Linked DNA regions of Cricetulus griseus. The protein of the gene in region 2 purifies or fractionates together with the protein of the main gene of each other region. This does not show direct contact. Links are inferred from orthologs where the notes say so. Each region holds a gene or a part of one and is shown on either strand. Other genes may lie near its edges.

Evidence for each region.
Region 1: the proteins of Sirt6 (region 2) and G3bp1 purify together in Homo sapiens (affinity purification with mass spectrometry; 3 studies listed by BioGRID and IntAct, with this or other methods). This does not show direct contact. The link is inferred for Cricetulus griseus from reciprocal best matches to the Homo sapiens genes SIRT6 and G3BP1.

The regions. Positions count from the first base shown.
Region 1 is NC_048600.1:69,678,407-69,683,674, reverse strand, and holds the end of G3bp1 (ras GTPase-activating protein-binding protein 1), read right to left. Parts: coding exon 5,210-5,268; intron 4,634-5,209; coding exon 4,524-4,633; intron 3,732-4,523; coding exon 3,522-3,731; 3' UTR 2,313-3,521; downstream 1-2,312. UniProt on the Homo sapiens protein: Protein involved in various processes, such as stress granule formation and innate immunity. Plays an essential role in stress granule formation.
Region 2 is NC_048598.1:102,383,168-102,390,066, forward strand, and holds the start of Sirt6 (NAD-dependent protein deacetylase sirtuin-6), read right to left. Parts: upstream 3,917-6,899; 5' UTR 3,831-3,916; coding exon 3,765-3,830; intron 3,583-3,764; coding exon 3,455-3,582; intron 3,256-3,454; coding exon 3,013-3,255; intron 2,402-3,012; coding exon 2,342-2,401; intron 1,352-2,341; coding exon 1,256-1,351; intron 1,184-1,255; coding exon 1,103-1,183; intron 911-1,102; coding exon of another isoform or gene 769-910; exon of another isoform or gene 705-768; intron 662-704; coding exon 538-661; intron 456-537; coding exon 189-455; 3' UTR 1-188. UniProt on the Homo sapiens protein: NAD-dependent protein deacetylase, deacylase and mono-ADP-ribosyltransferase that plays an essential role in DNA damage repair, telomere maintenance, metabolic homeostasis, inflammation, tumorigenesis and aging.

The DNA.
Region 1 (5,268 bases), on a different chromosome or scaffold from region 2:
CTACAAAAAACCACTTGCTGAAATAGGAACACCAGTTTTGTAGAAGGCAGACAATAAGCTTACTTTCCTAAAGGAATGGGGTGCTATGAGTGTTGCCACAACTCAGGTCTGTGCAGTGGCAATCCCATTCTAGAATACCCAGCTCACAGCTGGAAATGGGCTCCCATTAAACAGAAGACACTACCCAGAAACCCTGTCTGTTCATCCAACTGCTTCACGCCATCTCCTCCCCTTTTTATTGTGCCATAATCCACAGGGTATACATGAAAATTAAATGGGTTCACTTGTTTTTGTTGTATTGTTTTTGAGACAGATTCATGCTTTATAATCAAGGTTGATTCTGAATTCAAACCTCTCTCACCAGGCCTTCTGTACACCAGACAAGTATGTGCCACAGGCCCTTATTTTAACTATCCAACTAACTATCCAGCTGGCCCCCCAGCAGCAGCTGAGATTGAAGAACACAGGAATACCACCTCACCATGAAAGCAAATAAAACAGTTTTGGTTAAGATTTACTTACTTCTAACAGACTCAGGGCTGGAGAAAGATGCTCAGTGGCTCAGAACATTTTGCTGCCCTTCCAGGACACGAGTTCGGTTACCAGCACCTATGTAGAAGGGCCCACTCACCTGTAATTCCAACTCCAGGGGGGTCATCAACATCTTCTGATTCCCTAGGCACCTGCACACACATGGTAAACATTCACACAAACACGCACACATGTACACATAAGAGTAGGACTCACTTAGCTAAAATACTGGTTAAGACCCTGCTCAATGGCAAAGAACTATGCAGTCATCCCTACAGATCTTAATTTCATCTGAGAAGGCTAAGGGGCAGCCACTTACAGAGACCCTATGCTTTCTGTGTGACCATGGGTACCTCTACTAAGCTGTTTTTGGCTTCATGTGGTATCAATATTGACAGACTGGCATCCAGATTCTCAGTGCTAACTGTGTTGCCAAGTCCTGTCAGGCCCATGACCTTTCAAAGCACCCCTATCCCAACCCCACTGCTGTAAAGTGGGGCTCAAGCAGACCCCTAACCTGTCACAAGCAATTCGGGCCCGGGCACTCCCCCCTCCACACACACACACACACACACACACACACAGCCTGCACAGTAGAGGTCACTTATCTGAGGCTGAAGAGAACAGCACTTTCATCTCCCAATTCCACCACCATTCCCTGTATCCACAGATTCAATCCAGATGTCACCCTTATTTCCAAAGAGGGTAAGAGCCACATCCCATGACACCTCAATTTACACAGCCAAATGCCAATCACCTCTTTAGGTTAGTACTCCTGGCTATAAAGAACTACTATTTGACTTAGTCCTCAATTGTAAAAATCATTTTTAGATTTATCGAGCTACTGAATCTTACAGACAGACCTTATTACAAAGGCCTGGCTGGCTTTGAACTTGAGATTTTCCTGTGCCCAGGGCATATTATCTGAGACTATAAACCTGTGCCAAAAGGCATTGCTTCTGTGTTTTTCAGTAGTCTGGGGTACCTTTTGTCTCTCTATGGCTACCTTTTGTTTTTTGACAAGGTCACACTATGCAGCCTTGGCTGGAACAAACTTGCTTCATAGAGCAGGTTAGCCTCACACAGACACACATGCTTCTGCCTCCTGAGTGTTGGGATTAAAGTCATGAGCCACCCAACACTTTATGTAATCTACACAAGTACCTGTTATAATCATTGGTCTGAAATGAAGATATTTAAATTGACCCTAAGCTAGTCATCACCTGCAGGTGCTGCCAAAATTCTGATCTGTGAGGTGCTGAGCCCAAACTGATAACCTCTCATTTTTATCCCAACTAGCCTTTCTGACAACAAAACCGAACTTACCCATCCATGACCGTTTTCAAAATGAACATTAAGGAAGTGAGGAGATGACTACCATGCTATGTGCAAGTGTGAAGATCTGACTCTAATCCCCAGAACCCACAGAAAAGTCAGATCTGGCACATGTCTGCAGTCCCTGGACTACCTGTGGCTTATGGGCTAGTTAGCCTGGCTGACGCAGAGAAAAATAAGACTGTCTCAAACGGTAGAATATAAGGACTGGCACCCAATCTGTCCTCTGACTCCTACAAGTATGCTGTGGTACACCCATGTGTGAAACTCCCCCACCCCATTCCCCCCCACACACACACACACAAATTACATTAGGAAAAGTTAGATTTGACAATCTGGTTATTCACACACCAAGTCTGTATAAACAAAACCTTCACCCACTTCACACACAGCACTCAACACAACACTGTGAAGTGAGTTTTAGCAGTCTACATTGTCAAATGAAGTTTTCTTCCAGAAATATTTTAATAAAAATTGGCCTTTTCCAAGAAACACCCACTGCATGTCCATCAGTAAAAGAGAACCGTAACAAAATAGAAAATTTACCATATGGCTATGATTTAAAGAAAAAAAATATGCAGACCCTGGAGTACATTAGCCAAGTCCAAGATTCAAGCCAAATCCTTCTGAGGGGCCTATCAGGAACCCGATAGACAGCAGAGTAGAATGTGGCCCGTCAGCCACTGAGGTCAGAGGCCTCACAGAAGCACCTTCCTCAAAAGCGGTCCAGTCTGAGGCGTGATTTTAGGATAAGGCAGAACAATGTTAACACGACACATACAGGTGATCAAAAAAATTCTACAGTTCCCCCACATACTCTGAATCTGAAAACAAATCTAGAATCTTTATTACTTTTCTTTAAACAATTGCCAGGGCCAGAATCAAAGATAAATAGAAGGCACAGTTTTGCTTGGTTTTGTTATCAGATTTGGGGTTTGTTTTCTTGCGGGGATTTTTGTCCTTTTTTTCTTTTTTTTTTTTTTTACAAATACAAATAAAACATGAAAAACTCTACCTCAAAAAAACTAACAGTTCAACAAAAATCCTTAGCTGCGTTCTAGACATTGACAGGCTACGTCACAATTAAAATCCAATGGTAAAAACAGATGTTTGGAACTGTTTGGTAATCACATGTCAAAAGAACAAAGTTCTGGAAACACCTTTTATTCAGTTAGCCACACCAGCAGGGACCCAGTGGCAGTTGCCAAAAGGCAATTTTTCCACACCAGAACGGAGTCGTGACTCTTGACAGATAACATGGATTTTTCCTGCTTCCAAAATGTTTATCAAATCCTGTGTCTCCCAACAAATGAAACATCCATTGTCAGTGAGAAGCGAGACGCGCTCCTTTGGGGAATGGCCGTTACACTCCAGTCTGTATCTGCAGCGTGAGCAGGAAGGTGAGACTCCCTCCTCTTCTTAAAATCCTACTCCTCCTAAAGTATCGTTCCAGAAAACTGGAAGTGAAGGACTAAAAGGTCAGGGGAGGAAAGGGGAAGTGGGGGGCACACACCATGAACACAAGCGAAATTAAAATTGTACAAACTTGAGCAGTTTATAATAGACTACTCCAAGACACCAAAGGCTGGTTGAAGGAATTCACCATTCTGCAGGAGCCAGGGCTGTGTGCTGTGTGGAGATCTGGGCCAAGTAATTCACTGCCTTGGAGTTGTAATCCCCCTGCCCACACCAAAGCCTGGTTTCTGCACCATGCCTCCGCGGGGAGGGCCTCTCATCCCACCACTCGGCCCACCACGGGGGCCTCCAGGTCCCCGAAGGCGGTTATCCCTGCGGTCTCCTTCCCTGGCAGCTCGAGTCTTCTTCTCTTCCACATTCAGACGGACTGCGCCTCGGAACATGATGGGCTGTGTGAGGAACAAAGAAAGCAGACACTGAGTCCGGCTCCTGACCCTGACCGTGACTATCAGAAGTGAACAACACAACCCTAAGGAGCAAGCAGCTTTCAACCAACTAGTTCTCACAAACCTGCTTCTGTTGAACTAATACATGCACCTGTGGTGAGCTGTTCAGGGAGTAGAAAAGAGTCTAAACAGCCCTGGAAACATAAGTAACTCAAACTTCAGGTAAACTCAATGATAGACGCATCCGGCGGGGGGGGGGGGGGGGGGGGGGGGGGGGGGGGGGGGGGGGGGGAGGCACACGCCTTTAATCCAGCACTCAGGAGGCAGAGGCAGGCGGATCTCTGAGAGTTTGAGACCAGCCTGGTCTGCAAGAGCTAGTTCCAAGACAGCCTCCAAAGCCAGAGAAACGCATCAGAGAGATCCGTTGATTAAAAAAAAAAAAAAAAAAAAAAGACGCCTCCACAGCTTTGGAGTTGAATGTGAACATGGCCTCCTGCATGGAAAGTGACACACAAGGAGGTAGTGCTAAACCCACAAACAAACAAACACTGAAATGAGTGCAGTAAACGTCAGTGAAATGCAGAGGTGGAAAGTACTTGAAGTGTCATATGCATGGTCAGAAGCCTTGGGAGTTATCAAAATAGCTAACTCCACTGCCAGGGGATGTGTCCCCAATTTTCTCAATCTAAGAGCACCGCACACACCTGGCACACATACATACATGAAGTCAAAACGCATACACATAAAATAAAAATAAATCTTAAAACACACACAGAGAGATGCAAATCTACTTACCCTATGGTTGAGGACCTTCTGAACAGGCTCAGAATCATCAAACACAACAAAACCGAAGTTGGGCAACTTCCCGCCACTGTTAATGCGCAGCTCCACCACGTTCCCATAATCTGTAAGTGCAAAGAGCTCACAATTTCCTTGCAGGCACCCAGTTTTACAGCATTCAGCTTACATCAAGAGCAAGATGTGCTAATGAATTTAAAATGATTTCCAAGATGTCAAACTAAAATGCAAAAAGAGAGTTCAAATGCCCCTTAGATGAATGCCTATACTAACCAAGATCTAAGGGTTCCAGGCCATGGGGTTTGTGAACTTTGTGAACTTTGGATCTTGGCGAGCGGACCCAAGTGTAAAAGACAATGCATTACACCTCTCACATGCTCCTTATTCACCACTGTGAAGGAGTGTCATGCAACGCTGTAGCACACCTGCAACTCATGACACTGAGATCAGGGTGGAATCTTCCACTTGGTGTCACGCTCAAGGGAAGTGACAGCTATGACACTTATTTTGGAGTGACTGCTCAGGCAGAAGTCATGTTTGTGGAAAGGAAGGTTCATTTCGGAATTGGACTAACCAGGCCTTAAGCCCACTCCTTGTTACTAGAAAACCTGACATTACACCTGTGCCTCCACTGTGTGATGCTGTCTAGGAAATCAGGACCACATTGAGACTCAAGCACCTACTTTGGAAAAAATCCTTCAGTTCCGACTTGTCAACCTCATGTGGCAGGTTCCCGATGAAG
Region 2 (6,899 bases):
GCTACAGCAGTGAGTTCAAGGCCAGCTTGAGTGACTTAGGGAGCCCAGGTTTCAAAGAAAAATATGAAAAAGGTGGGTTATGGCATGGGCAAGCCCCGGCTCAGTCTTCAGCACACAGAAAGAAAACAGAATAAAAATCCCACTGCGTGTGGCTCTTACAAGTGCCCCTCCCACCCCTCGCACCCGGGTCAGCTGGGGACAGCCTCGGTCTTTACTCTTTTGGGGGGCCTGTGGGGTACAGGGCTGTTGGGCTCTGGCTTACAAACAGCATTCACCGAGCCATTGAGATGTGCAGGAGGCTCAGTCTTGGGCACAGCAGGGCGTGGCAGAGGTGGCAGGGCCTTGTCCAGCACGCAGGGTCCATCCCAGGTGGGGATCTCCAGCCCCAGATGCTTCATGAGCCTGCTCATCACGTCATCCACGTAGCCATGGATTCGCAGGTCAGCCTGGCGGTCCTGCCAGAGTGACGGACAGTTAGGCCGGAGCAGGGGACATGGCAGGGAACACAGGGCCACAGGGCAGGGCATTGGCACATACGTGTTTTGTGGGCTGTAGGTTGACAATGACCAGACGGCCTCCCCGGCGCTTAGTGGCAAGGGGCAGGTTCCCACTTGGACGGATCTGCAGCGAGGTGCCCAGGGTGACTGACAGGTCTGCGGTCCTGGGAGCAGGAAGCAGTGAGGGGCTGGGGGCGTGGTCAGGGTGTGGAGCCCCGCCTAGAATCTCCCAGTAAGGGGCTGGGGGCGTGGTCAGGGTGTGGAGCCCCGCCTAGAATCCCCAGTGAGGGGCTGGGGGCGTGGTCAGGGTGGAGCCCCGCTTAGAATCCCCAGTGCGGGGTGGAGGTGGGGCTCTAGTTCTGTGCTTGTTTAGTGCACCAAGGCCCAGTATTCTCCCCAGTACCACAGAAACCCTGAAACAAGAAACCAAACAAAGCTTCCAATCATCCCAGGGTCCCCTCCGCACCTATCCTGCCCAAGGGTGTGGGTGCGCTGCAGAGGACACTCTGCTGTCCCACCCCTGAGTCCTGATCTTCTGTGGAAGTCTATCCCATGCCTGTACAGCTGTGCCCACCCACTGCCACCCAGGGAGCACGGGGTCACACCTGCTGGCCTCATCAGCGAGCATCAGGTCCCGTTCAGGCAGTGCGTCCTCCCAGTCCAGAATGGTGTCCCTCAGCTCCCCCCTGCAGCAGGTCAGGGAAGGGAGTTAGGGCCCTCACTTCCTGACAGGGGCAGGTGTGAGGAAGGTTACTCACCTACAGGCCCTTAGGCCCCTGGCCTTGGCCACTGTGCAGAGCCGGCCCGTGGCCTTGAGGCCCATGGTACCCACGACTGTCTCTCTCACGTATTGCCTGTACAGGGGGGAAGGAGGGGGATGTGACTTGTCTAGCGCTCTTTCAGGGGTCTGGGGGTGGTGTAACCAGTGTATGGGGTACAGGCTCAATCCCTGGGCTACACTGCAAGACCAACAGCCTAGGGATACAAAGACAGGTGCCTCAGTCTGGGAAGGGCTTGACATGCAGACATGAGGCCCTGAGTTCAAAAGGCGGCACAATGGAGCAGATTTACCACCCCAGCGCTGGAGACCCCAGGAGGTTCCTGGCCACTCAGCAAAACCAGCAATTGACAGGTTCTGAGAGACTGTGCTTCAGAACACAAGGAGAGGGGTTGAGTTAAGACACCTGATGCTGGGGCTGGAGAGCACTAACCGCTTTTCCAGAGGACCCAGGCTCAATTTCCAGCAACCACCTGGTGGCTCACAACCACCTGTAATGAGATCTGGTGCCCTCTTCTGACATAAAGGCGTACAAGCAGGCAGAACACTCATACATTAAGTAAATGGGTAAATCCTTAAACCCCCCCCCTCCAAATGACAACAGCAAAAAACCAAACCAACAACAATACAAGACCATCCACCAGTGTGTGTGTGGGGTGGCCAAACATGATGGCTCATTGGCTGTGATCTCAGCACCAGGAAGCAGAGGCAACTTAAAGAGGGGGTCAGGGGCTGAAGCTCAGGGGCACAGCTCTTGCCTAACACCCTCGAGGATCTGGTGTAAAGCAATGTTGTCTGCTGGCTGGGAGCCACAGCAGGGGGGTGGGGCAGGGAGAACCCCTCACTTCCAAGGATGTGGCTTGTGTCGCCCTGTTTTGTAGCTTCTTGCTTGGGGGACCTCCTCATAGCTTGTCTGTTTTTAACTGACTGTCACTGGAATCAGAGGCACCTCCCAGCTTTCCCTGGGGCCATTTCAGGACCTGTTAGCTGGTTCAGCGGAGGAACCTGGGAGAGCCCCACCCTGGGAGAGCCCCTCCCCTGCCGGTCTTCACTTGCGGACACTCACGTCTTACACTTGGGACATTCCTCTACAAACATGTTTCCATGGAGCTCAGCCAGCTTGTCCCTGCGGAAGAGAATGAGAGTCAGGTCCCTTCCTCCCTGAACCCTGAGGCTTGGACCAGTTGCTCAGCCTGCCTCTTCCTCCAGAAAGCCTTCCTAGGCTGCTCACCCACAAGGTCTAGGCTGAGGAATTGTTACAGGTGGCGATGACCCTATCTCTGCAAACACAAATAGCTGCTCCCCACTACAAAAATCTGTTGGCCAGATGGACCGTGGTGTCGCACGCCTTTAATCCCAGCACTCGGGAGGCAGAGGCAGGCGGATCTCTGTGAGTTCGAGGCCAGCCTGGTCTACAGAGCTAGTTCCAGGATAGGTTCCAATGCTACACAGAGAAACCCTGTCTCGAAAATCTTAAAAAACAAAAAAACAGAAAACAATCTGTTGGCCTTAGAGCACTTGCCTAGACGCCCCCAGTGAGGGGCTGGGGGCGTGGCTCAGGGTGGAGCCCCACCTAGAAACCCCCCCATTGACCAAGTGCTGGCCTACTTTAGGCTCCAAGCTCTTCCCCCCTTTCCATCTCCAATAAAATGTCCCTGACCCCGGGCAGGCAGCCTGGTTCCCGGATAAGGAAGGGGTGCAGCTGAGCCCCACGCCCCTGGTCCAGTCCCATCTGACCTGGGGAAGCCCGAGCGTACGTGCAGCCCGTCCACATTCTGGCTGACGAGGAAGCTGAGGAAGCCCGAGCGCTCCAGCTGCACCAGGGCCATGTGGGTCTTGGAGGGCCGGGCGTTCTCGAAGGTGGTGTCAAACTTGGGGGCCAGGCCACGCTCTTCCATGGTCCACACGCCGTGGGGGCCTCTGAGGACAGCGAGCAGAGGACAGAAGTTCCTTTTCGAGTGCAGGCCTCGTCCTGGGAGCCTGAAGTCAGTGTGTGCTGCGGGCTGGGTCCCTGTCGGGGAGAGCCAGCCGGCCAGCCGGGGACCCCGCAGCCGGGGACCCCGCAGACGCGTCCCAGCATCCCCTGCAGCCACACATCGCCGGGATCTGTGGCGGCTGCCCCACCTCACGGCCGTCCCCGCCAGCGCCCTGCCTCAGTTTCCCGTGCTCGTTCACAGACCTGAAGTCGGGGATGCCGGAGGCGGTGCTGATGCCGGCGCCCGTGTGGAAAACCACGCTGGAGGCCTGCAGCATCAGCCGGGCCAGCTCCCCCACCTTCCGCTCCAGCTCCTCCGGGGGGTCGAAGATCTGTGGGGACGGGGGCACAGCTGGGCTCAGGGACGGACCCCACCGCACCGCACCCACCCCGCCCGCGGGGTCCTCCTTCCAGGAAAGTCCTTCCCGCTGTCTACACTCCGTGTTTCGTGCTGTCCCCACAATGCCCCACTCGTCCGGGCCCCCGTCTGGCGACCGGGACACCGTGGCCTCACCTCCGGCAGCCCGCACTTGCCCTTATCCGCATACGGCGACAGCCCGGCTGCGTAATTCACCGACATCGTCGCCAACAGCGCAGACGGGAACAATAAAGTTTCCCTTGTTGAGGCCGCTTCCGCCGGAAATGGGGAAGGGACCGCCGGGGTGGGAGCGTTAGAGGCGGAGGAGGTGTTTCCCCCCGGAGCGCGCGCGCCGCACTGACGCCGCGGGCGCCATCTTTAGTGCTGGCAGAGACTTGCGGGCTGCCTCGCGAGCCTTCCCTTCTCGTCCCCGGCGCGCTCGCAGGAACCGAGTCCCAGCCCAGCCTGGCTGTGCAATGAGACCCTGTTTCAGAAAAGCGACAAAACCAGCAACAAAAACCATTAAAAACAACCCCCGGAACTCTCACTCCGTGGGTAGAGCTCACCCCTCGTGCATACAGCCGCGGCGGGAGTTCGAAGCCCGTCTAGAGGTCGTGAGACCCTGGGCGGCCTTTGGGTCTCTGCTGTGCGGCTGTCAGCCCGTGTCTGCCCCTTTCTGAGCCACAGGATAGAATGAATGGGAACTTGGGGTTCACAGGCACCCCCTCCCCCGGGCGCCCTGCCAGCATGTTCTCAGCTTTGTTTCTGGGGATAGCACAGAGCATCACGGTCAGGTCCCCACGTTACACAGAGGGGCCCGGAGACGCAGAGAGAGATGGGGAAGGGGATACTGGGTCAGAAGCACCTCCTGTGATCCCCTCCTGTGGCAGTCCATCCTGACCCCTGTGCCTGCTGGTGGTCAGACGGGACCAGGCCACGGCGATGGGGGCAGCAGTCCTTGGGGCTGCCCACATGAGCAGGCTGGCCAACAGCAGTCCTCCCTCTCTGGGCTCATCCCGTCCCCCTGGGCGGATGCCCCCCCTTCCTGATCAGGTGTCACCCCGACTCTGCTGCTGGCAGCTCGCACTTGGAGCGGGTAACCAGAGAGGCTGTGGTGCACGCAGTGCTCTGGCCTAGAGACGCCTCAGGTAGGGGGATGAGACTGTGAGAGGCCAGGGAAGACGCTGCTCTGGGTCCCAAGGAAGGGGATACTGTGTCAGGGGGTTGGGGAGGGGGCTGCTTGCGACACCCGAACACATACATGCACCTGCACACTCGTGACAGGTACACGGGACCCACCCGACATGCGCGGACCTCGCTCAATGTGCGGCCTCCTCCCTGAACCATTGTGGGAACCCACAGGTCAGCGGACCTGTGCTGCCCCACCTCTTCCAGGAGGGAGACCCCTAAATTCACAGGCCTTACCCACACGATTCCATCCTGACTGCCAACCTGAGTTTCCTGTTACCCTTGGGTGTGATTGAACTTTATAATTGGGGGTGAGAATGAGCTGTACACTGAGCTGTAGAGGAGAAAGGAAGGATGGACAGGTGGGTGGATGAATGGATGGATGGATGGATGAGTGGATGGATGGATGGATGGATGGATGGGGTGGATGGGTGGGTGGTGGGTGGGGGGGGTGGATGGATGGATGGATGGGTGGGATGGGTGGATGGATGGGTGGGTGGTGGGTGGGTCTTCCCTGAATAGATTGCTTTTGCTCATTGAGAGTAGTCAGAAACGTGACTGGCCTTCCTACAAGGGGCTGATTGTCAGGTGTCTCCTTCCCTCAACCCCAGTAAGTAAAAAGTTTGTTACTGGCAACCCTGGATGCAGTCTAGTGGCTGCACCTTGCTTAGAAGCCAGATTAAAGACAGAGGAAGTGCCCCCGCTGGGGAAAATGGAAGTAGTTCCAACTGGGGAGATATACTTCATTCTGTCTGGGAGACAACACTGATCAGCACCTGGGGTTTTTAGGGTTAGTTCTACAGAGAAGGAGGGTGGGTCTTAGCATCAGTGATTGCACAAGAACAAGATTGCAGAGCTGTGTGAGGTGCTTGAGCTAATGGGGTCGTGGTGATGCCTGTTACTGTCCATCAGCCCCTTCTGGGGACTGTGCTGTTGGGTGAAGGATTAGCTCCTCTGTTTACAGTTGGGGACAGTTTCCTCAGACAGGGCAACTCACCTTCTCAGGGACACACAGCAGAGAGGGACTGGCAGTGTGGGAGAACAGAGGCTGTGCTGTGCAGGATGCTATGACTGACCCCCCCAGCACGCTGGCTCACTCCACCCATCCCTTCCCCAGAGACAGGACCAGAGTCCCCAGCTGGCTTGATGAAGACCCTCCGGGCAAGGTTCAAGAAGACAGAGGTGAGTCTGCAGGCCTGGGAGAGGGCACAAGCCCTCATCCCCACCTCATTCTCAAACTGCCATCGTAGCTCAGAGCCCAGGGCTCTGCCTTTAGCTCCCTCCACCACCCAGGCCCCTAGTAGCTGCCCTAGCAGCTTCATGGACCAGTTCTTTTTGTGCTAGCAGAATGCTAACCCTGCACATGGGCCCACTGACTCCCTCTGGTGGCCCAGCTCTGCTTTCCCACTCCTGCTTTCATTTGAATCCCTCTGAATCTAGCAATTCTCTGCTCCACGACCTCCGTGTCACCCTCACACGGGTTCGTCAAGGAATGAATTTATATTGTCTGCATTTGGGAGATGAAGGGAGGCTTAGAGACGGTGTGGAGGCTGCACAAAGTCACACAGCTCCGAAGGGTCCTGCCTCCTATGGGGGCTGGGCATCTGTGGATGTGACCTGCACGGGGGAATGGGAATGGAAGGGCTTGGAGAGAAACAGAGACAGAGACAGAGAGAGCGCGAGAGCAGTCACTTTCCTACACAGTAAGGCTGGACTGGCCCCCTAATATTTTCCAACTCACAGAACCCCTGAGAATCACAGCCAGTTGAAATCCAGTCACTGCAAAAGCCGAGTCATGGACCGGCAAGATAGCTCAGTGGGGAAAGGTGCTTGCAGCTAAGCGTTTTCTGTATGTGTTGCCTGCATCCATGTTCGCGCACACCGGCGGAGGCTGGGAGGGGGCGTCGGGTCCCCATAACGGGAGTCACAGGCGGTTGTAAGCTCCGTATGGATGCTGGGTCCTCTTCAGAGGCAGCCGGTGTGCTAACCGCTGAGTATCTCTCCTGAATTTGATTCCCAGAATCCACTGGTGAAAGGAGGAAAATGAGTTCTCAAAGTTGTCCTCTGACCTCTGCCTCGGTGCACCTGTGCACGTACCCATGG